Linked DNA regions of Astyanax mexicanus. The protein of the gene in region 1 purifies or fractionates together with the protein of each later gene. This does not show direct contact. Links are inferred from orthologs where the notes say so. Each region holds a gene or a part of one and is shown in the gene's direction. Other genes may lie near its edges. The genes, in order: cdca5, pds5b, smc3 and pds5a.

Region 1 (6,913 bases):
CTGATTCTTTTGCCAGCAAAGGGCAAGCAGAGACTCAACTTCTAAGAATTTCATGCTGTCGGAAATCTTTTCTTGAACAAAGCAGATGCAACAAAAACAGGTCCAGTCCATCTGATTTTGTACTGTATGTAACATAGCCGCTTATCTAACATTTTGATTTTGATACCACTGCTCTACATGAACAGCTGGAGTTTCTAACAGACATTCCAGACAAATGCGCTTTATATGTTTGTATGCATTTTAAGGTACATACATACATACAACATATAATTTAATACATGGTTGTGACATGGATTTTTGCTGAACCTTTGCTTTCTCCAATATGTTTTTTTAAGGAGAACCCATTAATTTAATGAGCTGATTTTATTTATTATTTTATTTTTTTAGAATACTTTTAAAAATATTTAAATTCTGATGGCTGAATGTTCTTCATAATGAAAAGTCTGTTGCTCTTTAAAATGGTCTAATTGCATTATAACGCTGTTATAGCATCATTATATCTGTGGCATAAATTGGCTTAAAATGGCAATACTATTGTTTATCATAATCTTTTCTGGAAAAATATATTCTCCAAACAAACTTTTTATCGTGACAAACCTACTGTATAGCTGATTTCCTCAACTGGGTGCAAAAAGCTGCATCATGTCCAACCAATCAACCATCATTCCATTCCTCTAACTGAGAAAGGCCCCCAGCTCACATGTGATGCGACTTTGTATTTAAGGAGTTATCTTTAACACCCTTACACAGTATTATAACCAGCCATTGCTGCTAAGCAGTATTATTCATCTAGCCACGGCATGCACATGCTGATTTAGCCATGAAATATAATGTAAAGGACTGACTCACCATAGCACACCAACCTCACAGTGTCCTGGGAAATAAGAGGTTGATTACACAAACTGCAGTTGGGATTGTAATCGCTGTCCTGGAGCCACTGCAGGTAGGATTGTACTATACACTGCACAGAAGCGGAACAGAACAGCACAGTCAACATTTGAAGGTGAACAAGGCGGACAGCCAACATGTGAGATCTGTATACACAATAATCAGTCTACAGACCTTACTGTGATTGGATACAAGGCAGTGCTCACAAACATTGACCCGATGTTCAAAGCAGAAGAGGTTTGTAACCTTCCTCTTCGGGCACTTACACAGACCCATGGTCTGCCTGTCGAACTGTACACAAACACATGAAATTAGTGTAAACAAATGTCAGTGCATCAATGCCCCAAATAGTTGTACACTACATAGAAAGTTGGTGGCTGCACATTTGAGCCAAGTTTGATTATTACGGAAACATTCTTTCAAATTTAAGTAATACCTTCAGGCCATAGAAAGGGATCAGAGACAACTGGCCTGTACCCTTACATTATCACCATATACAACCTATGCATTTTTCTACAGTACATACTGTTGCATGAAAATAAAGACACAAACATGCCTAATTATGTCTGTCAGACGTCATATAGGAAACTGACATAAATAACTGATTAGCACAGTGATTGATTATTCTACTCAGGCTTTAGTAGAGTTTAATACATCTGAGATACTAAATAACTGATCAGATAGAAAGATAAATAAATAAATAGGTGATAAATAGGTAGACAGACAGACAGATATAAAAACAGATAGATAAAAAACATAGATTGATGTTTAATATTTTATTACATTAAATTACTTTAAACGAAGGCCAACTGGACTGTAACCTAATGTTTTATAAAGTGGGCTTTTATCAAACTAAAAAAAATAAATAAGGAAAAACAGTAATAAGACAATACACTGACATATAGCCATATAACCACATCAACTAGCTAGGTTAGAAACACACCCATCCTTTTCTTTTAAAAGTACAGAACAAATTAGTGGCCTCAGTGTGATCAAATGTTAATTAGCAAGCTAGTTTAGTAGGTATATTAAGTTACTCCCAAATAGTTGGTTTCAGAATCAGCTGTTCCACGCCCTAAGTAGACGTACCCTATGTATGGAGCAGGGGGGGATACATCACCTAAAATAACAAAGTAAATAAACCTGTGTCAAGGTTATATAGGTAGGTATGTTGTTTAGCTAGCTTTAACGCTGTGGGTAAGAAATATTAAGCTGTATGATTTTTCAGTGTCTTGTTATCGCATATTAGATCGCTTGGTTACCTGTCTCTCTAGTTGGCTAAGTTAGCCTGTTAGCTGTGTTTAGAGTGGGGCGTTTAACCCCAGCTGTCAAAACCCCGTTAGAGTAAAATCAGGGACGAATACGAGGCATTACTAAACTTACCGAGACAGCGCGGGTTCAGTCAAGCTCCGTGTCTTTAAACTGAAGCTCAGAACTGTGAAAAATGTCCTGGTCCAGCTAATCTAACTCATATTTGTGATGCATTTATCGGGAAGCATTTTTCTGCCACGTCTCTTCCGCTACAGTCGCAGAGTAATGACATCACACTGCACATGGGCTGTGTCCCAATACTCCTGTAAAGCCTTCACTTCTGTGTGCTCTTGTTTAAAGTCTTCTAGCCAATCACAGTTGTATGTCTTACTCTGATCTGAATTCTGCAACAAATTCGGAACTAGTTCAATTACTGATTTTAAAAGAGTATGTGATTCTATACCAAATGGTGTTATTTGCTTACTTAAAAGAAATTACATGTTTTCAGATACTTTTTCTTCAACACTCTAAGACCTAACCTGTTCTAATGATGAATAAGATATCTAAATGCTCTTTATGTCTGTAATGTACTCAAAAACAGAATTCAGTAAATAAATACATAAAAAAATAGAAATTAAACATAATATTTGTATTTTGTCTGTTTATTGCAGTGCAGTCATTTGATCAACAATGCTATTTTTATTATTATTATATATATATATATATATATGTATATATATATATATATATATATATATATATATATATATATATATATATATATATTACAAATTACAAAGCAATAAAAAACTCATAACCTGCCACATTAGCAGGGATGCTACCATGTTTTACCTTAGTGAGCAGATTTTTAGTTTTCCAATGCAGTGGGCGGGCTAATCATCTGTTTGTTTTCAATAATACATGTCTGTTCTGGTGGACAATAGGTCTTAATCTGTGTGAAGTGAAAAAATACATAAGAAAGTAGAAAACATAACATGTCCAATGGATGCAAAGTCGAAAAAGGTTTAAAAATATATAACTTAGTATTTCTTAAAATAGGGGGCGAAATTTGATAATAACTCGTGAGCGTCTATTTTAAATTGTTTGGTACAGCGTCTTTACTGCCTGCTCTTCTTAGTTTTGCCTGATCTACAAACCTGGAAATTCACATCCCCACCAGCTATGCCATTATATTAAACGGGACCATGAGCTACAGATCAGAGAACGTCGAACAAAGCACACTACTTATTCAATTATTGGGACACAGCCACTTTTTCTAAACGACAACGTTACAAACAGCGCCGCCTACCGGATTAAAGGTTGAACTGACGCTATTTTTAACTTGTGTTACATTTATTTCTAAATATATTTTAGAAATAATATTTTATTATAAGTCAGGAACGCATTATCTGACGTTTCTATTGTTTTTTAATAAATAAAAAAATCACTCACTATATATTTAATAATTAATTAATGTTTTAAACGAGCTTGGTAGATGAGTAGTTCGATTCCTACAACGAACCGATTCTTTTGTCCGTTTTAATGAATCTCACGTCGGATTTGGTTAAACTCACGCATTTTTGTAATGTTACAGTGTCGCATTTCATGATATTTGTGGGTTTTTTTGTGTAAGTAAAACAGTAAAATTATTATTATATCATTGTAATCCTTCACGTGTAACCGAACTGAAGGGGACGTTACGAATCAGCTTGAAATTAAAATGTTCAAATGAACCGACTCAAACGATTCATTCACAAATCGAGTCCCTCTGTTGTTCCGCCATTTCTGTTAGGAAGGCGGGTAATTTTGAAAGCTCGCCGGGCAGCTCGCGTTTCTCTAGTGAGAGAAATATCTCGAATTTAGTTGAACCGAGCGCGGAATTTTGGAGTTCACATATTTCTTTATGTGTTCGCGTTTTCTGTGGGCAGCAGGCTCGCTACTTTTTGACTTTTTTGAGTAACTTTAAAAATGAGCAGCAGGACACCGCGGTCAGCGTCGACTGGCCTCATAAAAAGCAGAGGTGAGTGACTGAACTGAACCAGCCCACGATAACTCTTTATTTCTGTACTGCAGAGTCATAACTAATACAATAACTAGCTAAGTTATTTAACTAGGTTGGCCAACTCCTATTTCATTTGCTTAGCCAGGCTAGCTAAATATTATAGTTATTTTAACGCTGTGTTGTCATAAGCTAACGTTAGCTTAAGTTACTGTTTGGGTAGTTAGCTAACGTTAGCTAACCTTACTAGCGTTAAGAAACTAACTAGTGGTAATTAACTAACTGTTAGCTCGGTTAACTTATATGTTATAGTCCTGTTTGATTCTGATAAAATATGTTAATTTAATAATAGGTTCGAGTGTCTTAGTTAGCTAGCTAATGATTATCTAATAGAAATTAATGGAACCAATGTGTGCTTTTTGTGGACTGCTCCTTCTCTGAACTCAAGCTCTTACATAACAGTTAGCCAGCTGGCTAGGTTAACATTAACATTAGACCATTTCAGTTCTACTCTCTCTTAAAAGTGCAACAAAGGGAGCCTTACATATTAGTGTAAATATTAAACTAGGGGTGGGCGATATGGCCCTTAAGACAATATCATGATATTGCATGGCATTTGTGTGACAATACTCTACACTACTGCGGCAAATAAAAAGGAAATTATATTGTTGCACAAAATATCACCCCTAAAACACCTAATTTAGATATCAGCACTTCAAATATCCAGGATTAAAGTAAAATAAATGATGCTGCACAGTTATAATCTGTCTCTAGTAGATATATAACAGGGATTGAAAACAGTGTTTATTTTTCTTTTGCTGAAAACAGCAAAAAGTAGTAACCTGATGTGATAAAAGGTTGGATATGGCACTATATTTCAGGGTATAAAATCGATATAATTGCGTACAAAATTATATGGCACATCCCTATATTAAGCAATACAAAAACTCATTTTCACAAAGCAATGTATTGTTTATACATGTTAAACTGTTTATTCGAGACAGTATAAGCCCTGAAAGCTCTCCAACAAACATACAACTAATTTAAGCATTGTCTACTTTCTTTTAATGGTTTTACAATGTTGTTAAAAGGTAGTTCTGTTTATGTTTGTTGAGAAATGTTGTCACAACCTAATTTAGTTAATAATTAATAGTTAATAATAATTAATAGTTAATATAAAGTTAGGCTGAACCAAATTAATTTCTTGGCCAGACGAGAACAAAATTACAGTTGTAAAAACAAAATAACCTAATCAGCAATGCATTGTTAAGACAAAGCAATCGCAGAAGTACCAATTTTGAGAAGTTAAGTAAAAGTATAATAAGAAATACAGAACTAAATGAGATTCCAGTCTAATTGCTTCCATTCTGACAGATATTTAAATTAATAGTTTTGGTTGGCAAACTTTAAAGGCATTTACTTCCAAATATTTAGTGCATTGCTATTAATAAATGTACAGTCTGACAGTGTTTTAGGCACCAAACAATAGGTTGTCACAGTCTAAGTGTGTTTGCTGGGACCTTTCATAAATAAAGTGCACATAATAAAATGTACATTTTTTGGCAGTAGTTGAACTAGTGTTATGTTGCAATGTCCTCATTAGCGATGTCCTCTTCATTATATTGCTAAAATATCATGAAATAGTTCATAATACACTCTTAGAATTTAACGTAACACTCTAACTGACTTTTGAAAATCTTTTTGAGAGTTGCTGAATCAAATTATTATGACATTTCATTTTTGTTTGGGTAAGTTTAGTTGTGCATTGTGTTCTTAGAAACAGATGAAGGCAGCCAACAGCGAAGGAGATCAGCAAGGCTGTCGGGGAATGAAGAAAACCTGCCCCCCAAAGATGAGGTGAGAATTTTGCTGGATGTTCACTGTTTAAACTATTCTCTAAATATAAAGCTAGATTACATTATTTTACAGGAATCTGACCTACTGTAAAACCTTTTTTGAATAATATGTTAAAAAAACAAAGGTGCATCGAAAACAGCACACTACTACAAGAAGTAGTATTTAAAAGTAGTGCTTCATCATTAGAAGTAAACAAAAGCCCTAATAGGCAAATCTGTTCACTTTTCCACCAACTTTACAACTTTGGGCTTTATCAGTACATACCAAGTTTAGAGTAACAAGAATTCATATTTTATCCATGTGCCAGTCTCTTTCTTTATAATTTCTGTAAAGTACAGTCATTTGTGTTGTGTACATTAAGAATCGTATGTGGTTTGGTATACATGCTCAGGTCCAGATGCACAAAAGCATTCGTATACCACTGATTAGAAAACTTCGCTACTTTGAGATGCGCAAGTTGCTTAAACAAGCATTCAGTTGCACACAGTGTGTATACTCTTTTTATATAAATGCGGTGGGTTGCGCTGGACAGGTATCACATCATCAGTACCTGATGTGAATGTGGCTAATTGCAATAAAATATTGCAGAAAAGATTTTAACACCTAGTTTAAAGCCTTTCCAGGAGAGGATAGGCTTTTAAAGCATATGACTATGTGTCTACAAACCTTTAGGCATATTATGTTATTAATGATTTATATGCCTCTTTGCTTCTTCAGGTTCCACGCGTTTCTGTTAAACGCTCCATCACTGTACGAAAAATTGCACCCAGGAAAACTCAGGTAACTACAAATAAGCACATTGATAAATAAGCACTGTTCTTGTTTTCATTCATTATACATATATTTCTTCACACCATGCTTTTTTTTGGTCACAGGTACCATCAGAGCCTATCAAGGAAAATGTGGAAAGAAGATCCA
Region 2 (7,163 bases), on another chromosome or scaffold:
GACATGGAAGCCTCAACCACATAACGAAATTACATGGAACGGTCCTGATGCAGCAAACAGCCATCCAAGTCAGTGGCAACATCTTCCACCACCAAGGCTTCCACATGACCCACCACGATTTCCAATTCCTGGCCGCCGTCATTTCTTACCTCCACCCCCACCTATACCTCAGACTCCTACACCACCTCTGCATCTCCTGCCTCCTATTAACAACTACAGTCACCATGACACCAACAGCTGGTGCTCCTGGGAAAGGACCAATTTTCCTCTTCGTAATGACATCAGACTTTCTGCATCAAACTGCCCTGAGTCATTTGAACAGCGAGGAAGAGGTTCAGCTGACTGGCAGCCATATTATAAGACACAGCATTATCACGAGCGAGATCAGTACCAGCGTAACAGTGGCACGTCTCCGGTTTTGATTTTGATGAGAGGACTTCCAGGCTGTGGGAAATCAACTCTGGCAAAGTGAGTTTTCAGAGCGGCTGTACAATCAGTCAGAAGCACACCTGATTACAGTTGTATAATCTGTTGGCTTCAAATGCTCAATTAGTTGAGGTGTACTTTTGATTTGAATAAAAATCATCAGTCACACCAGCCTCTTTGTGGGTAAAATTGGTGGCCCTTGTATTAATGCATTATTTTAAATGGAAAATCCATTTTATTTACAATATCACACCGATATATATATAATACCATACATTTTTGTAATATATTATATAGAATTTTGCTGTGATTAACATCCTATTTTACATTAACTAAGAATTCCGCACATTTAACCTTCTTTTACATCATCCCTTTCTTTTCCCTTCAAAACACTATTGACTATTGTATTTTCTTTAAAGAGAAATATTGTCCTGTGGTCCTGATGGTCTAATACTGAGCACTGATGATTACTTCTTCCAAGAGGACAGCTACTTCTTTGACCCTACTTTACTTGGGAATGCACATGACTGGAATCAAAAGAGAGGTATTACTTATTTCTACAGAAGTTATCACATAAAAACATGAATTACATATTGCGGAGACCCTTTTTTAACATGAGATATGAAACACAAGAAAGAAATGGAGCTCTCACAAATACAGGTGAACAGTGTGAAAATATTGAATGGTAATATTTCTGAGCATATCGTGGATATTGTCAGTGAAAAACACACACTGACCAACTGACCATATTTTTTTAAACATCAGATTTTCCATATATACATAATGTGCTCTATATGGGAGAGAATTTAAACAGTTTGGCTACATCGTCATGTTAAAATGTAGTCAGTTCATGCAGTACTAATTTAGACGTACCCTAAATCTACTAGTTTAGAACTCACTGCATTGAGTGTGTTTTAAGGATATTTTTTATCGTAACCTACAATTTAACGTACCTTCAGCTGGTGTAACTGGTTACTTGGATTAGATTGCAGTCTGTATTAGAATGAGATATTCAAAAGTGTTTATGTTTTTGTTTTTAAAGCTTTGCTCTGTACTGAATATTCTTACATTTTCAGCTTCATAGCTAGCCGTATATTCTGTTTTTTTTTTTCAGCAAGAGATGCTATGTTGGACAGACGTTCACCTGTTATTATTGACAACACAAACGTTCAGGCCTGGGAAATGAAGCCCTATGTTACATTGGTAAGTTATCAGAAAAAATGCCAGGCTATCCTATAGGTTTCCTGAAATATGAAATATAACTGTGTTTATACCTGTATGTCTGTAGAATTTTCAAATAAACAGTGTTTATTATTCCTGTTTCAGTATGGTAATGTTTATGACTGTTTTGTATGTGCTATTTTATTTTTTTGCAGGCTTTGGAGTGTGGATATCGAGTAGATTTTGTTGAGCCTGACACACGATGGAAATGTGATCCCACTGAGTTAGAAAAGTAAGTCTGTGCATTATGTAGACCTGAGTATCCCAGGGAAGGCTCTGACTGTTGGTCTTGTGGGCACCCAATATGTATGTGCCAAGTAAATTTTCTTTGCATGTCCTCTTAAAAGTTTGGGAGCATAAAAGCCCACTCCACTCCTAAAAATAAAGATGCTAAAAAAGGGTTTGTGCATCATTGCCCTAGAAAAAACAATTTTGGTTGCATGTGACCCATTTATAGGCATAAAGAATCTTAATGTAAACTTTCTGATTGATAAAGATTCCCAGCACCCTCCTAAACCAACCCAAATCTCTCTTATGAATGTGTTTATCTATAAAATATCTCAGACAATGTTTAGTGGTTTAGTGACAAAAGTGAACCTGATTTCAGAATGTTTTTGATCAAAATTAAAGTAGGATATTGTGTTGTTGTTACTTATTCTTCACTTTATGTCAAAATATTTTTGGACTTTTCTTCTAAAGAATGTGTTTAATCATGTTCTTTTGTTCCCAGCCACTTAACCCTCCTGTTATGTTGCATGTCAAACTATTTTAAAGCATAAAAATAGGGGAACAATATTTGTAATTAATTTTGGAGCATGCTGGCCTTAATTAATATTATGGACACAGATAATGAGTAATACATTTAATGTGTTTGATTCATTTCAAAAGGAGGAATACACATAGGGTCCCACGGGACACTATAGCAAAGATGCTGGATCGATTTGAGCTGCCTATCAGTGTGGACATCGTGATGAACTCCTGTGAGCCTCCTCATAAAAGCAAAGAGCGCCTTTCCAAACCCTATGGACAGAGAAAATATGATAACTTTTAAATCTTTTATCAGACAAAGAAAATAATAAATATATATTTTTTACTTGAACTTTGGAACAAGCTTTTTTTGTTATTTAGTCAGTAGACATGTATTTGTGTTTTTAAACTTCTGTAAATAATGTTTAAATTTGTATGACATTTTGAATTATGCTCAGTTCAGGTCTTTATTTTTGGAAATTTGTGTACACACAAAGCTTTGTGATTTTGTATTTCTGTCCACTGTCTTTATATTGATTAATGAAGAAATGTCCATAATGTCCAGTTTAATTACTGACTGTAATAAAAAACTGATACCATACACTTTGTCCTTTTACACTGACTTTATAAACCAATGGCTACATTCACTGCTGTTTTCTTTTTGTTGTAAAACGTGGATGTTTTAACACTTTTGTTTGAAAGGAAAAAAAATAAACTCTCAGGTAAAATTTTAGCCAAATGCTTTCGTGAGGATAAAGTCATTTACAGGTACTAGATGTCTCGTACACTCAGTTCTGTCTCCCTGTTCTAAACGAGTGTCCCCATGGATGTCCCTTAGTAGAGTCTTTATTAGATTACATTTCAGAGAAGCGAAACCTTGGAGGTAAGATTGGGTTTGTAATCGGTACCTGTATCACCTGTAACACAGCTGCCTTTACTGCCTACAGCTTACATATAAAGATGAGAACAGAAATTATAAAATTACATCATATAATAATTATAATACTAAATACATTTCTATTACCCTGGTGGTAGGATTTGGGATTAGTTGGTTGTGTTAATTTCTGCAGGTTTTGGATTTAAAACTGTTGTTTTGGCAGCAGGGATTGGGGTTTTAGTCTAGGGGGTTTAGTCTGTTGCTTTGGTCAATGGATTTGGGGTTTAGTTTGAGAGTTGTATTCTAACAGGTCTTAGTCTGAATTGCTTAGTCTGAAGCATTTAGTCTGTTGGTCCTGTTGTAAGGGACTTATATATGTTTATATAAGTCTAAGGACAAACGCCGGAGAGAGAGCCTGAAGGTTTTAGTCTGAGGGGTTTAAATGTGATGATTTTAATCTGAAGAGTTTAGCCTGAGGATTTTAGACTGAAGGGTTTATGTCGACGGTTTAATTCTAAGTGTTGAGTTTGAGAGTTTTAGTCTGACAGTTTTAGTCTGATGGTTATATTATATTCTGAAGGAATCATTTAGTCTGAGTCTGGATCTTTAAATCTGAATTTATAATGAATGTTCCTGTCTGATTTATTTATTTTGAAGGGTTTAGTTTTAGTCTGAATGGTTTATGATTAGTTTTAGTCTGAAGGGGTTTAGTTTTAGTCTGAGGGGTTTAGTTTTAGTCTGCAGGGTTTAGTTTTAGTCTGCAGGGTTTAGTTGTAGTCTGCAGGGTTTATTTTAGCCTGAAGGGGTTTAGTTGAGTCTGCAGGGGTTTAGTTTTGTTCTGGGTGTTTTGGTGTGTCAGTTCCCGCCGCGTCCTGCATGTGGCGCTGTTGGCCCGGGCTGTGTGAGGTGAAGGGGCCGCTGGATTGGTGCAGCCAGCGGACAAATTGGCGCCATTTTGAAGCGGAGAGGAGGATCGGGGAGCTGGTGGAGAAGAGACTGGACTGCAGCTCCTCTAATCAGGTAGATTTTTATTAAAATCAGGAGCTGCTGTTCGGTGAGGAGTTACGGGATTTAGTGGCGGAGTGTGCGCGGGGAGCGGGAGGCTCGGCTGCCGGGGGGCGCGCGGGGGCTTTGTTGTGTTATTTCAGCGCGGATCCGGTTAAACTGTACTGAGGTCCATTCTCTCTCTCTCTCTCTCTCTCTCTCTCTCTCTCTCTCTCTCTCTCTCTCTCTCTCTCTCTCTCTCTCTCTCTCTCTCTCTCTCTCTCTCTCTCTCTCTCTCTCTATCTCTCTCTCCCTCTCCCTCCCCCTCCCTCTATCTCTATCTCTCTCTGATCCGGTTAAACTGAGGAGAAGCGGCTTCTCTCTGCAGGCTGAGGGGAAATATATGGATTTTTTGGTGATTTATCCGGTTAATGTGTAATTTTTTCAGCCTGAGCGCCTGTTTGAGTTGAGCGTTAGCGCCAGAGCTGATCTCTAGCAAGAAGGGCTAGCTGTTTATGCTAACTAGCCGTTAGCTTAGCTAGGTAAGGTTTTCATTATTTTATTATTTATTTAATTCCAAAAGAAGAGATTTTGTGCTTTTGAAAAATTGCACCTCTTTATGTTCACGTATCGGTCCCTTCTTATAGCTTCAAGACTTTTTGATTTTTTTATCTGTCTCTAGAGAGGTGTTTTTAAATGGGTTAGCTGTAGATGCTAAGCTAGCTCTCTAACTGCTGTCTGTAGCTGAGGGTCTGAGGGGTTAGCTTAGCTGTCATGTATGTAGCCCCTTTTTATTGTGAAGATAAATGTTCACATTTATTATCTGTTTATCGATAAAACTCTTGTCAGGTTTAGACGAATCCAATTTGATTCAGATTAATCACAAAAAGCCCGTTTTCTGACGAACGTTTTTCTTTGGTAAAAATCAGACCCTTCAAATCAGACCCCTAAATGTCACCTGTCAAATGGTTTCAGAGGATTATTTATTTAATATAAATACATTACCTATTGCAGCTAACTAACCTTTTTGTCTATTGTGTGGGTTACAGGGTTTGGGGTTTAGTCTGGAGAGCTGGTTGCAGGGTTTGGGGTTTAGTCTGGAGAGCTGGTTGCAGGGTTTGGGGTTTAGACTGGAGAGCTGGTTGCAGAGTTTGGGGTTTATTCTGGCGCACTGGTTGCGGGGTTTGGGGTTTATTCTGGAGCGCTGGTTGCAGGGTTTGGGGTTTATTCTGGCGCACTGGTTGCAGGGTTTGGGGTTTAGTCTGGCGCGCTGGTTGCGGGGTTTGGGGTTTAGTCTGGTGCGCTGGTTGCGGGGTTTGGGGTTTAGTCTGGCGCGCTGGTTGCAGCGTTTGGGGTTTAGACTGGAGAGCTGGTTGCAGAGTTTGGGGTTTATTCTGGCGCACTGGTTGCGGGGTGCGGGGTTTGGGGTTTATTCTGGCGCACTGGTTGCGGGGTTTGGGGTTTATTCTGGAGCGCTGGTTGCGAGGTTTGGGGTTTATTCTGGCGCACTGGTTGCGGGGTTTGGGGTTTATTCTGGAGCGCTGGTTGCGAGGTTTGGGGTTTATTCTGGCGCGCTGGTTGCGGGGTTTGGAGTTTAGTCTGGTGCGCTGGTTGCAGGGTTTGGGGTTTAGTCTGGTGTGCTGGTTGCGGGGTTTGGGGTTTAGTCTGGTGCGCTGGTTACGGGGTTTGGGGTTTATTCTGGTGCGCTGGTTACGGGGTTTGGGGTTTATTCTGGTGCGCTGGTTGCGGGGTTTGGGGTTTAGTCTGGTGCGCTGGTTATGGGGTTTGGGGTTTAGTCTGGCGCGCTGGCTGCGGGGTTTGGGGTTTAGTCTGGCGCGCTGGCTGCGGGGTTTGGGGTTTAGTCTGGCGCGCTGGCTGCGGGGTTTGGGGTTTAGTCTGGCGCGCTGGCTGCGGGGTTTGGGGTTTAGTCTGGCGCGCTGGCTGCGGGGTTTGGGGTTTATTCTGGCGCGCTGGTTGCGGGGTTTGGCGTTTAGTCTGGCGTGCTGGTTGCGGGGTTTGGGGTTTATTCTGGCGCGCTGGTTGCGAGGTTTGGGGTTTATTCTGGCGCGCTGGCTGCGGGGTTTGGGGTTTATTCTGGCGCGCTGGTTGCGGGGTTTGGCGTTTAGTCTGGCGCGCTGGTTGCGGGGTTTGGCGTTTAGTCTGGCGCGCTGGTTGCGGGGTTTGGGGTTTAGTCTGGTGCGCTGGTTGCGGGGTTTGGCGTTTAGTCTGGCGCGTTGGTTGCGGGGTTTGGCGTTTAGTCTGGCGCGCTGGTTGCGGGGTTTGGGGTTTATTCTGGTGCGCTGGTTGCGGGGTTTGGCGTTTAGTCTGGCGCGTTGGTTGCGGGGTTTGGCGTTTAGTCTGGCGCGCTGGTTGCGGGGTTTGGGATTTATTCTGGTGCGCTGGTTGCGGGGTTTGGCGTTTAGTCTGGTGCGCTGGTTGCGGGGTTTGGCGTTTAGTCTGGCGCGTTGGTTGTGGGTTTTGGGGTTCAGTCCGTTACCCTGTTAGCGAGGTGTGGTTTTCGGTCTGTAGCGCTGGGTAATGCAAAAACATGTTTTAGTATCTTGTTTTTGTCGCATTTCTTTGTCCTTTGTGAATCTGGTGTTTTTACATTGACTTTCAATGAAAGTTAAAATCTTTTTCACTGCTGTAAAGTTTTTGTTTTGGAAATGAGGATTTTGCACGATTGACCGTACACAGTGCACAAGTATTAAATGTGTGTTTGTTTTTCTTTTTTTTTTTTTTTTCCTTTCCCTCCTTTTTAATAAAGCTATTTGGTTTAAGTCATAAATGGGTTGGTATGAGTTCTTATAGAATTCTTAAAGAATGTAATGCAAATTAAACATCGCCTGCTTGGTATTAACCTTTGGGACTCCTCCTTCTGCATTGGGATTGGGTTCTTTGCTTATTT
Region 3 (7,113 bases), on another chromosome or scaffold:
CCACACTGTAAAGGGTGGCATTATATTAAATTATATTCTCAGTCAGAGCTCTATAAAACAATCTGATAAACTGAGTCAGAAAGTGCAGATTCTTAACTTTCACCAGTGTTTGTAATATAATATAGTACAAATTGTCTTTGGCATATTTGATTTGCAAAAACTATAGAATATAGATGTAATGTAAATCTTGTTTCACTACTGATTGTAATTGTGTAATTACATTTAAATGACATTTGTATGAGATTATAATTAATTTATTAAATGATAATGTATTATATTATATATATATATGTCATAGTAAGACCATGTGATGAATTATCGAGTTATAAATTTTACAGTGAAGCTTAAATTCAGCAGAATGTCAGTAATAATAAATTAGAGTTACTTTATGAACGGTTTCTGATCCTCCTCTCTCTCTGTCTGTTTAGACGAGGTGAAGCAGGAGGGGGGTAAAGTGCTGGTTCACTGTGAGGCCGGGATCTCCCGCTCGCCCACCATCTGCATGGCCTACCTGATGAAGAAGCAGCGTCTGCGGCTGGAGGAGGCTTTCGAGGTGGTCCGGCAGCGCCGTACCATCATCTCTCCCAACTTCAGCTTCATGGGTCAGCTCCTGCAGTTTGAGGCGGAGGTGTTGTCCTCCACTCCGCCGTCCGCTCCTCCCGCCACCGCGCCCTGCCAGCAGGAAGCCGCCTCCTTCTTCAACAGCAGCGCCGCCGGCGACGCTAAAACCGACAGCAAGTTCTCCTTCGAGGGAACCTTCGAGTCCTCCATGTTCACCTTTCCTACCTCCTTCCTTCCTTCACCGTTCAAACTCAGCCCAATCACTGCCCTGCCTTAGCGGGACCTCCCCAAGCCCCGCCCCCTCTGACTACTTGAAAGATGACAGAATAACAAGCAACAGAATGGAGGAGAAAGAGACTCTGTGTTATTTATAAAGACAGTGTTTGAGTCCGGATCCGGGAGCAAGTGTTGATTTCTTCTCTGTTGTTTGCCTTTGAAAGAGTCTGCAATACAAGCCTTAGTTTAATCATGTGATCTCTGCCTACTGATGCTGCCCAGAGCGGCGTTTCACATTAAATTATTGATTTTTTTTTATGTTTTCTTTTTTATGAAGTATAAAGATCTGTTAATAAATGTATTTACAGAAAAGTAAGCTGTTCTCATGTGTTCTTTAACAAACCAATTATTGATTATACTGTGTAAAATCATTTGAACAGTTTTTGGGCATTTTCACACCTGTAATTGCTTTCTATGGTCTAGATCAGGTGATGAGTTTGTTTATTTGGACCGTTTCTCCCTCTATTCGGTTTGTTTTCACACAGGCATAAACCTAAACGCAACAAAATACACACCAATAAACCACACAAGCACATCGTCTCCTCTGACTGGTTAGAGCTGTCTGGTGTGTGAACAAGAAAGTAAATATAGTGAGAAGATTCTGTGTTCCAGGGCATATATCTGTATATCTGTGGAGTGTGAAGCTGCTTTAATACAGAATACTGCAGTGCAGGTGTACACGTAGCAAACAGAGTTGCACGGCTGCAAGCAGTGAACGCAGCACAGACCGTGCTTAGTGTGTAAACAGCATGGAGCAGCAAAGACAGTGTTTGATCATAGCTGTGGTAATTAGTGTTATCTGGCAAATATATCAAATTAAACTGCGCCTTATCAGCATTTTAGCTCAAATAAAAAAAGTATTTTTAATATCTGGGTTGGATTGAGACCTGATCACGATCACACCACAAGAGAACAAAACGCTCCAGAGATCGTTTGGGACAGAGATCACCTCCTCTAGCAGGTCTCGGTCCAGTTGTTTTGATCTGAACCCGCGTGTGATTACTGTTTACACACCTGCTCAAACAAAAACCGCACTAAGAGTACATACCAACCAGAGTCTGTTTTAACTGTATTGAATAGTGCTGATGTGAAAAGGCCTCAGACATTATATTAGTTTGAGTAGATCACCATGATCAGATTTAAAGAGCTCTCTGAGGCCTCCAGACGTAGCTGTAGATGCAGAAGAGTCTGGAAAGAACCTCAAAAAGATCTTAGAAATAAATCATGTAAATATGGAACAACTGCAAACATTACCAGGTCAGACTTACAGTGCTAACAATGCTGAAGAGAAAACCACTGGAGTAAATAAGATAAATTTCTTAACTATTCTAGAATATCATCACAGAATCTACAGGTAGTTTTTGTCTTTACAATTAATCATAATTTACATAATCTACCAGCAGTAAGAAACAAACTGGTCTGATCTTCATGGGACGTGTGGAAGGAGAAAACATCAGAGAAAGACTGAAGATCTCCAAAGAACTCTTAAAAAAAACACCAGGAGCTGTTTAAATCAGGATTAACACTGTTTAAAATGTGAGATACATAATCACATTAAACTTTCAAGTGCACAAAAAAGGCAAACAAAAAAAGATATGAAGTAAACAAGAGATAGCACAAGCTTATCTTAGAACTATCTAATTTTGGTAAACTAGACATTCATTCTTTATTCCAACTGTTAAAACTGATCATTTAATAAAAAACAGTAGTTTCTCCAAAGAGAAAATTTAAGAAAATCTTGTTACAATCAACAAAGCTTTTTGTAGAATTGTATCATAATTTTTTTCTTAAATAATAAAAAACATCTGAGAAGCATTTCTTTCTTAAGACATATTTGTACATTTGGTCTCAGTGGATTAATTCGGATTAGATTTTAATAATATACAGAAAAAGGACAGGCACCAACCGTATACAGCAGACAACCAGTGAACAACCAGCCAAGAAACAGCCAAGAGAGATGCAACAGTGACCCCTGTTGTGACCCTGAAATTAGGTGAACATGCTTATAAAGTACTTACATATAAATCATTGTTTTACTATTCAAGTGTTCCTGATTAAAAAATAATATTTCTCCAATTAAAACTTTCCAAACTAATGTAATATATTTGTGTAAAAAGTGTTAATTATGAAAGGTTGTGAATTTAATATAAAATATCAAAATTAAGTTAAACAGAAATACAGCAATACAAAATATTATAGATGTGAAAGTAAAAAACACATTTTAAGACAAACAAAAGCAAACTGTCACTACCCAGATAGCAAAAGGTCTAAATTGTGCTAATCAATAACTGTGACTCCATACACACAGTGTGGAATTCTGCAGTAGGAGAAGAAAAAACTATATATTTGCTCAAACTATGATTTTGGCTTTTTTCACAAACAAACAAGTCAGTTCAATCTATATGTATATGCACAAATAAATGCTCTTAATGACTATATTTTTATTTGGAATTTGGGAGAAATATTGTCCATAGTTTGTAGAATAAAACAACAATATTGCTATTTATAGGTTTATATTTGTGTAAAATGAACATTATTATTTTGTCCTATAAACTACAGACAACATTTCTCCTGAATTTCAAATAAAAATATTATCATTTAGAGCATTTATTTGCAAAAAATGAGAAATGACTGAAATAACAAAAAAGATGCAGAGCTTTCAGACCTCAAATAATGCAAGGAAAACAAGTTCATATTCATACAGTTTTAAGAGTTCAAAAATCAATATTTGGTGGAATAACCCTGGTTTTTAATCACAGTTTTCACTCATCAGTCTTACACACTGCTTTTGGAAAAGTTAATGCCACTCTTGGTGCAAAAATTCAAGCAGTTCATCATTTTAAGTGGTCTCTTTTTTTTTTTTTTACAGACCTATATATATAGAGATTCGCGTGTCGCATTAACATAATTTATAAAACAGAAATAACGCAGAACAGAGGGGGAGAAATAGAGAAATGTGGGATTTTACAGTAAAACTGTCTCCAAACAGCCGCTTCTCACATTGGCGCCCAAAGCTGTCTCAGTGAGGGCTACACCAAGATCTCAAAATGGGGGTTTATTAGACTACCTATGCCATAATGTAATGAGTCCTATACAGTATTTCACACAAATATGAGGAATAATTTATTTGAAGGGATATTATAATCATAATAGGTGATTATAATAGTAGTTGTGGGTTTAATAAAGCGATAAAGACAGTGCTAGAAACCAGACTCCCCCTAATTCAGCGAGGTAAGCTCGTCCGCTCCGCTCGCGGCGCCATTTTCCATGTTATTTCATTTCTGTGAGGAAGATTTTGTGTTTTTAAGCTCAGAAACCGGATTAAATCTCGAGCTGCGGGGTTTTAATTCTTATCCGGACCTTCTTCTATCTGCAGAGGAGGAGGAGGAGGGCGCGGGAAGCGTCTTTGCAGCGGGGTTTATTCCTGCAGAGCGCAGACATGTACATTAAACAGGTGAGTGAATGGGAGGCAGCTTTACCAAGGCTAAGGCTAAGAGAAGCTAAACTATGCTAAGCTAAACTGAGCTGAACCGCATAGTTAGGCTAGGCTAGGCTACAGTTTAGAGTAGCGCTGCAGGTTAGCTAGTTAGCATAGCTACTGTAGTTTATGTAGCCATATACAAGCAAACTTCAGTTAATACATATTTATGGGACATTTTTATTTGTTTGCTCAATTTTTCATACAAGTAACGTTAACGTTAGCTAAAATAGTTAGGTTAACTAACTAGCCAGCTACGTTAGCTAGCTATATGTTTGAGGCTGAGGTAACGTTAGCCAACTAGCTTAGCAAGCTCGAGCTAATCTTCTCACCAAAATATAACCTAGTTATCGGGATCTGGGGGGTCAGACTATAACGTTAAATTAGCTACTGTTGTACTTAACTAATGTCAACTTACTGTACCAATAAACAAAAAGATGTTTAATTTACCTAATTAAAATCTATAATACCGTGCATTTGGTTTTATTTGGGTAACTAGACCCGTAACTTTAGCTTTTGAAGCTAACCTAGCTTAGCCAACTATCTGACAAACTTGCGCTGCTCTGACACAGCTAACGCTAACCTGGCTAACACTAACTTTTCAGTCTTATTACAGAAAGATAAAGTTATCTAACTGTGTGCTGATATTAAGCAATAATTTGTGTAACATTTATTTGTGTAACGTTTTTCCTCAAACATTTTCAAAATGTCCACATATAACCTAGATTATGTTAACTAGCGAACGTTACCTCTCTATTATTTTATCTTATGGTTTTCATATTAGTACCAGTTAAAAGTTTGTACACCTCTTCTCGTTTAATGTGTTTTTTCTTTCCTTTTGTGTTATTTTTTTATATTGTAATTTTAATATCGAAGACTATGTTTAAGCTATACAAGTACACATGTAGAATCATTTAGTAAACAAAATGCTTTAGATTTTCTCAGCGTCTTAAAGGATTTTCTGGAGGTTGAACAAGAGTAGCTGCTTTTCCTTCACGCTGTGCTCATTTGTATACGTTGTATATAGGTTACATCTGTTACAAAAAAAATACATGTATAGCATGCCACTAGTAAGCAATAATATCGCAAAAATGTCGTTTGAATATTATCATGAAAAAAAATTATTTTAGGGCCATATTGTCCACCCCTAGTATGCACAGTTGCATCGTATGCAGAACTGTAGAGTGTTGCTACAAACTGTTTCAGATCTTAACTCTGTCATATATAAAGTCGTGAAGGGTGATAACTAACGTTACTAAATTATACGTTTTTTAAACAACACTGTCACTTTACCCTCACTGAGACACTTTATCACGTTACTGCTCTTTCTTCAAACTATGCTGCTATAGCAGAACTTGTTTATTTTATTTTAACAAATGCTTTATGGGTGTAAACTGGACAGTGAGATTACAATTTTGCTCCACCTCATGTACCACGTGTGATGTGAATGACAACACAGTCTTCTTGAATCCTTAAACTACATACACTACTGATGTGAGATATGGGGGGGAAATTAGGATAAAATACAAGATTATGTTTTGACACAGCCAAATTCACTAAGCTTTAAAACAGCAATTTAAAGTGTACTCAGAAAACGTAGAGCTCATATGTATTAATTTTTAAAATAATCTGTACTCCCAGCTAATAAGGACATGTTTAATTACACTGGTAATAGCTAATGTAAGTGATCACAATTTGTTTGCCCCAACAGTATTCACAGTATGTTCAGAAAGATTGCTCAAAAATAACAAACTTTCAGTGAATAATAATGATAACTATATCCACTTGTTGCATAATCTACTAAACCAATTTAATGTTCAAATAGCAATGCTCCTTTACATATTGTAATGAACAGTATGAATATTCTGCCTTTTGTATAATCTCTTGTTAAATTAGCAGATAAACCCCTATTCGGATATTCTCCCATACATAATACAGTAATTTTACATATACGAATTTCTGCATTCCTCCAATTAAACAGGGGTAGTTACATCTTTGTAATGAAATGTTCAGTTGTTTCAGTGCTCTTTAAGCACTGGTGATATCCATGATAGATTTAGAAAAATAGGTTGTGTGTCACAATAACAAAATCACAGTGGGATAAGAAATTGTCGCAATACCTTATAATTTTAGTTGACGTGCAAATGTGTTTTACTACTGATCTATGATGTAATTGGAAAAGTGGACAGTGGTGTAATCTTATTGTCTTGCCCAACACTAGTGCATGATAAAAAGATGCATGATAAAATTCAGTTTAACTTTAGTTATTAAGTGAACAGAAGTAAGTATATTTATTATCATATGTATCCCCAGGTTATTATCCAGGGCTTCCGCAGTTACAGAGACCAGACTGTGGTTGACCCCTTCAGCTCCAAACACAATGTCATCGGTAAGTTATTCTCATTTTGTTGGGCTGTATTTCTCTGCAGCATGTAGCAGACACTTTACTTTTTTTACATTGTAGTTATATTAGTTATGTTGAGAGAGTATTTCTGTAGTTTACAGTTCGTTGATTCTTCCTGTCATTTGCAGAGGGAGATGATTGACTTGAATGTGATGACAAATAATTCATTATTTTAAAACCCATTCTGCCTTATTGTGATGAGTGTATGTGATTTGGATATTTTGGAATAGTGGCCACAGCTTTTCATGCTTTGTTTCATTTTCCCTAGTTGGTCGAAATGGATCTGGAAAGAGTAACTTCTTTTACGGTATGTACTGCAACCGGTATGACTCAGTGTCTTTACTATGTGTGTGCCAAATCATGTCACTTGCAATAATAGAGCTTATGAATTATT
Region 4 (7,282 bases), on another chromosome or scaffold:
GTGTTGAGTATGGATAATTAATAATATTAACAGTAAATATAATGCAGCACAACTTCTAACTGCACAATTGTTGGGGAAAAATCACACATCAGCATTGAATAAAACACTAGAAATGATCCTGTATAATTCACCTCTCACATGATTCCATGAATGAGCCTCTCCCAGTTGATCTGGATTATAATGATACGTCCCATTGCGGGTAAAGTACTCATCTGTGCTTAGTACCACCCCACCTGGGTTATGTTCCAACATGGCACTGCAGAGGACAAGACAGAACACACTCTTAGAGCATAGACACACACACACACACACACACACACACTTTGGTCTTATAAAGAACTAATCATTTTGTGCCACAACCTAACATACTGGCCACACTGGTGAACATGCTAATTGGAATACAATGCAACATGCTGAGATAAAGTGCAATGTGATTTCAACACAACATACTTAGTATAGGTAAAATACCGCATAAAGCAATCAAAAACAGGCTTACCTAGCGAGTGTGGTTTTGCCTGATCCTGGAGCACCTCTGAGCAGCACCAATACCGGGCCCTCCAGTATGAGCCTACTCACAGGAGGGAGGGTCCAGGACTTGGGAACAGTGGCTGAAGGCTTTAGAGGAGCTTGACTGACGGGCCTGCTGGCCAGCCATTGTGCAGTGCTGAAGGGATGGCCATTCCAAGGGTGAGGGGGTCTCATTACAGGGGTAAACCGGGGACCAGGACTGCCCACACGGGGCTGGAACACTGGAGCCTTAATGTTCCAGAACATGGCAGGTGTGTGTAGGCTTTCAGGATGGGCTGTTGGGCCGGTGCGGTTTGGAAATGTACCAGGCCGGCAGTACGCCTTAAAGGCAGAAGGCCTGGAGTGGGAATCCTCAGTCAGATGACTGAAGTCCACAGAAACATTGTTCTCTTTGGGACAAGCTGCCCCTCCAAAGCTTAGCTCGTTTACTGGTGATGCCCCTCGGTGGGCCTGGCCAGGCAGCGTGGTACTGGAGTCAGAGCTTAAAGACCCTGATTTTGAATCATTCTCCACATCCAGCAGGTGCAGGTCCAGTACGGCCAGCTGGGTGCCAGAAGGACCCTGGAGTGCCGTTATAGCTCCCAGTTCCTGATCAAGAAGATAATCAAATTCCTCCGTCAGATGTGTCGTCTCTGGGCTCTGATTCCGCTGTGGGTTTACTTTGTCTGGCCCTGTGAAACCTTCTGAAATCTTCTTGCTCGTTTCCATCTGATTCGTACGGGGTTGTCGGTCCAGTAGAGCAGCTGCCATCTCAAACCCTGAAGGTTGTGTAGTAGTTTCAGCAGCATTAGAGAGTTCTAGCAGAGAATCCATTGCATTCTCCACTGAAATACAAGGACATGATAACTGTGAGTGCACATTCATAATCTGATTATAGAACTGTTCTGATTATTCAAGCAGTCATGTAAACAGAGTAATCTGGGTAAGATTTTATTAAGATTTTAGCTCAGTAATCTGATTTCTCAGCCCATGGTAACCACAGTAGATTCGCATTTCTCAGGGCATATATACACTATACATCAGAGTGTTCTCAGATTTCTGAGCCGAAATTCTAAGCCGAAATTCACTACAGGAAACACTAAAGCGCAAGTCACTAAAGGTGTCAATAATATATTTTTTAAACTTTTAATTTCTAACCACCTTCAGACAGCCTGTAACTGTTTTGGTTGAATTTTTTCATTTAACTTTTTCTTCATTTTGTTTCGTCCATTTTTTATTTTCTCCATTAGTTATTGGCATTTTTTTTTTTTTTTACTTTATTTTATTTTTACCGGTTACTTTCTTTATCTTTCATTTTGTGTGTTATTGTATTTTTATTATTTCTTTCTTGATTTGACCACTATATTTCGCCTGTCAACTTATCCTTTTATTTTACATTATTTTAACTCAATCTCAGTTGTTTGTGTTTTATTGCTTTTGTAATTTAATTTTTATTGTAATGTTCATGAAGTTCCTTATTTTAGTTTAACCTGATGAAATACTTGATTTAAAGTTTATTTTCCTTTCCAGTTTCTTTAAGTTGTAAATGCTCTGCTGCACTACAAATGAGGGTAACCCTCAGCGTACTCCCGAGTGAAAATAGTGGTTGATTGTATTTATGTCTTTAATATTAATTTACAATTTTGGAAGTAAATTAGATAAAGAAATAAAGAATAACACTGAATGAGAAAAAGTTTCCGAACTTTAGACTGGTACTGTAGTTCCCTGTCAGCTGTAGTGTGTAAATAAACAGTCAGAAGTCAGAGTATGTAGGAGTTTGAGGAGATAAATACATTATACTACATAAATATAGTATAACATAAATATAGTACTATAGACAGTTAGATAGTTTAATGAGTTTAATGTCCTGTAGGTAAAAAAAACTGAAACAGGGGGTTCTGTTCTGTTGTAAACAAACTTAACTAGTTAGCTAGGCTAAGCTAAGCTAAGCTAAGCTAAGCTAACTAACTTTTAGCTAAGTAACTTTCAGGTAACCTGACTCTGACAGCGGCCCAGACTCACCGTTAAAGTCTGCCTCAGACAGCAGGAGGTGAATAACCGCCGGGTCCAGGTGGGAGAACATCTCCTGCATGCTCAGCACGATTTCCTCACGGTTCTGAGCGCTGGACCGGGGGTACCCGGGCTCTATGGACCCAGGGTCGGGGCCGGAGTTCTGCGGGGCGGCCCGTCTCATCGCTCCGCTTCCCTCGATGTCCGCGGCGTGCGGCGGACCCCGGCCGGGACTGTGTCCGTTCCTCCTTTTCTTTGGCATGGTGCCGACCGCGCTTCAGGCTCGGGCTGCGGGCAGAACCACCGCTGACCACACTGACCACAAACCCAACCGTCCACCATTAGCGTTAGGGCAAGCTCCCACAATCAAAACAGCCCCAAATCTCACAGCGCCCCCAGCGAATAGACGGAAACCGCAGCAAGCTGACTGACTGACTAAATAACTGACTAACAAACTGACTAAATAACTGACTGACTAACTAACAAACTGACTAAATAACTGACTGACTCAATGACTAACAAACTGACTGACTGAGTAACTAACTAATCAACTGACTTACTAAGTTAACTGACTGACTAACTAGCTAACTGAATGACTGACTGACCAACTGATTGAATAGCTAACTGACTGACTAACTAGCTAACTGAATAACTGACTGACCAACTGACTGAATAGCTAACTGACTGACTAACTAGCTAACTGAATGACTGACTGACCAACTGACTGAATAGCTAACGGACTGACTAACTAGCTAACTGACTAGTTAGGTAACTGACTAACTGAATAACTGATTGACTGACTGACTAACTAACTAACTGACTAGCTAACTAACTAATTGGCCGACAGATTGATTGACTGACTTGATAGATATTCACCATAAATAATACAACTATATATGAAAATATCACACTTAAAACATATGCACAAATATAATCATTATTGTATACAATAATGTGAAAATATGCTTGACCTCTACTTATTCAAGTGTAGTTAGTTACAAGATCCTAATGCTTGGCTACTATGTAGTAAAGCGTGGGAACGAGATTCTAATGCTTGGCCACTACGTATTAAAGTGTGGGCCACTACGTATTAAAGCCTAATAACAAGTTCGGTGTGTGAAGAAAATGTTTAAGTTCCGGTCATATAAGGCCTCCCCACGAGTTATGTATCTCGTTCCCACGCTTTAAAAAGTTGTCGCCACGACTTTTACATGATATCACCTTACGGTACGCGTCCACTGGCACTTTTCTTCAACGCAGGTCGCCGTGCCGGATCTCTTGGATCGCCGCGTGTGGGCGTGTCCGTAACGTTTTTGAATTCAAATGAAGCAACAGATGTAGTCAATCATAAGTTTAATATTTTACCTTTTTAGTCAACTTCACTGTGATCTATAGTTGTATAAATCCATATTCCGCCATTTTAAGCCTCTCTTCTGTGTTTAAAAGGCGCCTGTTCTGTGTGTGTGAGGCTCGTCTGTGTGTGGTGTGGCAGCCTGCTGTTCCCTGATTGGCTGGACGCAGCGCGGCGGCCGGATTCATTTGAATAAAGTTGAGATCTGTTCAACTTTCCTGCCGGAGGGCGGGGCTGCGCTCAACGCAACGCAACCCAGTATGCACCGCGGCATGCGGCGGCTCTCTCCATTGAAATGAATGGGATGCGTCGGGGCTTAAGTGCCAGTGGACGCGTACCGTTAGGGACTCAGTCCATTGGTTCCAGTAACTCGGAGCTCCGTCCGGAGTCGACTCCGGAGTCGTTTGTGGGAGTGAACACAGCCCGGGCTCGGTGTTGTTGTGCTGCGAGGCGGCGTTGGGACCGACGGGGGCGCTGCGGCTCCAGGTTTCAGAACGAGGACATCGGAACAGCGCTGCTGTGTGTGAAAGACAGGCAGCTTTGTGCCTAAACTCAAAAACCCCACAGTCCTGGAGCTGCCCAATGAATTAAAACAACTTGTTTGAGAGGTAAATACGGGGGAGAGGCGCTGGCCGGGCTGTGAGTGGAGCCGGGCCGTTGGGGGGAGTTTGTGCAGTAAGTTAGCGGGGTTAGTTTGGAGGGGAGGAAAGCTGACTGTGTGTGTGGAAGAAGCGCGTCGCCGGGCTGTGGGGAGCCGCGCTGGGGGGCTGGTTCGCGGGGTGAGGGACGGCGAGCGGCGGTGAGTGGCTGCGCCTCTGACTGTGCAAGGAGTAGTAGTAGTTAGCGGAGCTGGGAAAGATGCTGCTGCTGCCTCACTGAGTTGGACTCACAGAGAGGCAAACAAGTAGATAATTGTTGTTTTCTGCGAGCTAAAGTTGAGGTAAATTGGGAATGTGGTGCTGTTGAGCCGTGGGTGTGAGTGGAGGTCGGTTTGACGTGTGAAAACTTGTGTTTTTGATTGTATTGATTTGATGAAATTGAAGTGTTAAGTGAATTCAGGTAGTTTGCGGCCTAGCTAGGTTAGCTTAGCGTAGTTAGCGCGCTGTATGCTAGGCCACAGCTTCCCTGTTTTAATGAGAAAAGCTAGCTAGCTAGCTAATATTAGCATGTAGTTAGCTAACTATCATAGCTTTTGCATTGTCGGCGGGTTCTGAATTAGCCTAGCTTAGCTAACCTAGCGGCTTGTTTTGGTTTAAACGTTTAGAAACTCTTTCTCCATTTTTAGCGTTCATTTTATCAGCTAACCCCGCGGTTCGGTGGCTGGAGCCAGGGCTGGTTTAGTGATCTTAGGTTAACTAACGTTAACTAGTGTTGGGAAGCGGCTGCTGGACATGCCGTGTTAGCTAACGATAGCTAGCCACTAGCTATAGCTCTCTCTCAGGGCAGTTGGTCGGTTAGCTAATTTAGCTCGTTAGCTTCTCGGTTTTTGACTCGGTAAATTTCTCAGACCGGATCCGAGTCGGTTTTATTGCACGCCCCGGTTTCGCAGACAGGCTACTCAGTGTCCACAGGCTGTAAAGTCAGATTTTGGGAGGTTGTGAGCTGTTTAAAACGTGTTTTTGTGAAAGTACGGCCGGATCCCTCGCTGAACTTTTGTTTTCCTGCCCATAGAGGCCGGTATAGGACCGTGTGGGACATCAGCGCTTGGCGGCATGGAGTTCCCTCAGCAGCAGAGACCGCCGGGGGCGGACGGCAAGATCATCTATCCGCTCGGAGTTAAGGAGATAACGGACAAAATCAGCAACGATGAAGTGGTTAAACGGTTAAAGGTAAGAAAGCAACGTATTTAACGTTTAATCCGTATAACAACATGGCAAACTCTGGCAAAAAGTAAAAAAATATATATATTTTTGGGACTTTGTCTTTAGGATTTTTTATTATTATGCTGCTTTATCATGATGGTCCTAACAACAGTGATCTACATAGTGTAAAATCGTTTTTTACATATTTTTCCGCATATGTGTATTTATGACCCCATTGTATTCCTTTTAACGTTATAAATTAAATACATCAATAATAAGGTATGGTATGGTGTAATAACCAAAAGATGATAGGTTGCCCGAGGGCAACACTTTCTCATAAACTCATGAAGTTCCTTAGTGACTCAATTTTGAACTTGGTATCAATATTCAGAAATGGGTAGAGATGCTTCAGTCCTGTTTTGGTTCTTTTCCTGTGTATACAAACAAAGAGAAAGAATGGGTCTCTCTCAGAAGCTTAGTACATGTTTTTAGATATTTATACATATTCTACAGCAGTGACACATTTGTATTATGACACAATTATATTATATTGTTGTATGCTGTTATTGATCATGTGATGTTTGGTGTGCCGACATTCACAATAACAGACACTCTGTATAGAGTTCTCTGCAGAATTTTGGAAAGCTTTACATTACCGTAGATTGGCCAGTGATCTAAGTAGTTAGCTAATGTGTAGTTAGACAACCTGTAGTATTTTTACTGTCACATTTTATGTTAACATGTAATAACATAGGCATGTTACTTAAAATTAATTCATTTAAATTGACTTGGTAGGTACTGAGTATATATTGTTAGTCGTTTCTGGTATGTTTCAGTATTTAATAAAAAATTGTTGCATAATAGTGGTCATGATTGTCATAGTGTATGCTATATATAAATACACACAAAATAGAGATCAGAAGTGGGTAGGAATTTGACCATCATTTAGTTGTAGCACAGTCTGTAATTTGGTGTTTTTAGTTTGCTAGCTAACTTTTCTGAGCCTAGCTAGCCGGATAGGGATACAACCAAGACTAAACCTGTTGTCGTACAGCTAGCAAAAAGCAAAATACTTAAATGTGTATTGCAAGTTATGTAGCTGGTAGATTATCTGTATGACCAAAGTCAAGCCTTACAACATGTATTCAATAGCTTGTAAACAAATTGAAATATCAGGAAGTAGTAACTGCAATAGAAAACTGTTTAAAAGCATATTTCCATAAAATGCTGTGGGTGTTGAGGCTGAATAAATTGTAAGTTGAAACTGTTTGACAGTCTGATGGTTGTAAATAGAGAGCTGGCAGCAGTACAGAACAGCAGGTATAGCTACGCGTTGGGTGGGGCTGAAATGTCGTAAGTTTACTTGTTCACAGCAGGCGCTAAGCTAAGGTCATGTACACACACAGTGGGACCTTCTGTTGCTTGTTTTACAAATTGTAAATAGGCAAATTGAGTTTGCCTGAAAAAAAAAACAGATACGTATTTCTTTCATCCTGGAGTTAATTCTTAAATGATTCCATGTACTAATGAGTTTGTGGTTGAACTATCATGTTTGAAGGTAATGAAAAGAATGATTTCTTAAATTGCTTGCTTACTTTTATCCAGTATTAGA

What was found.
Region 2: the proteins of cdca5 (region 1) and pds5b purify together in Homo sapiens (affinity purification with western blotting; 4 studies listed by BioGRID and IntAct, with this or other methods). This does not show direct contact. The link is inferred for Astyanax mexicanus from reciprocal best matches to the Homo sapiens genes CDCA5 and PDS5B.
Region 3: the proteins of cdca5 (region 1) and smc3 purify together in Homo sapiens (affinity purification with mass spectrometry; 7 studies listed by BioGRID and IntAct, counting the BioPlex papers as one, with this or other methods). This does not show direct contact. The link is inferred for Astyanax mexicanus from reciprocal best matches to the Homo sapiens genes CDCA5 and SMC3.
Region 4: the proteins of cdca5 (region 1) and pds5a purify together in Homo sapiens (affinity purification with mass spectrometry; 4 studies listed by BioGRID and IntAct, with this or other methods). This does not show direct contact. The link is inferred for Astyanax mexicanus from reciprocal best matches to the Homo sapiens genes CDCA5 and PDS5A.

The regions. Positions count from the first base shown.
Region 1 is NC_064408.1:21,133,793-21,140,705, forward strand, and holds the start of cdca5 (sororin), read left to right. Parts: upstream 1-3,910; 5' UTR 3,911-4,107; coding exon 4,108-4,159; intron 4,160-5,915; coding exon 5,916-5,995; intron 5,996-6,712; coding exon 6,713-6,775; intron 6,776-6,870; coding exon 6,871-6,913. Other genes in the region: zfpl1 (zinc finger protein-like 1), read right to left, coding at 850-961, 1,063-1,164. UniProt on the Homo sapiens protein: Regulator of sister chromatid cohesion in mitosis stabilizing cohesin complex association with chromatin. May antagonize the action of WAPL which stimulates cohesin dissociation from chromatin.
Region 2 is NC_064425.1:46,070,766-46,077,928, reverse strand, and holds the start of pds5b (sister chromatid cohesion protein PDS5 homolog B), read left to right. Parts: upstream 1-4,149; 5' UTR 4,150-4,291; intron 4,292-4,638; exon of another isoform or gene 4,639-4,797; intron 4,798-7,163. Other genes in the region: n4bp2l2 (NEDD4-binding protein 2-like 2), read left to right, coding at 1-468, 846-970, 1,541-1,629, 1,803-1,879, 2,536-2,698. UniProt on the Homo sapiens protein: Regulator of sister chromatid cohesion in mitosis which may stabilize cohesin complex association with chromatin. May couple sister chromatid cohesion during mitosis to DNA replication.
Region 3 is NC_064430.1:22,055,072-22,062,184, forward strand, and holds the start of smc3 (structural maintenance of chromosomes protein 3), read left to right. Parts: upstream 1-4,090; 5' UTR 4,091-4,276; coding exon 4,277-4,291; intron 4,292-6,628; coding exon 6,629-6,704; intron 6,705-6,987; coding exon 6,988-7,026; intron 7,027-7,113. Other genes in the region: dusp5 (dual specificity protein phosphatase 5), read left to right, coding at 429-838. UniProt on the Homo sapiens protein: Central component of cohesin, a complex required for chromosome cohesion during the cell cycle. The cohesin complex may form a large proteinaceous ring within which sister chromatids can be trapped.
Region 4 is NC_064432.1:20,279,001-20,286,282, reverse strand, and holds the start of pds5a (sister chromatid cohesion protein PDS5 homolog A), read left to right. Parts: upstream 1-4,264; 5' UTR 4,265-4,476; intron 4,477-4,644; exon of another isoform or gene 4,645-4,667; intron 4,668-4,678; exon of another isoform or gene 4,679-4,808; intron 4,809-5,539; 5' UTR 5,540-5,580; coding exon 5,581-5,697; intron 5,698-7,282. Other genes in the region: n4bp2 (NEDD4-binding protein 2), read right to left, coding at 132-256, 497-1,352, 2,530-2,779. UniProt on the Homo sapiens protein: Probable regulator of sister chromatid cohesion in mitosis which may stabilize cohesin complex association with chromatin. May couple sister chromatid cohesion during mitosis to DNA replication.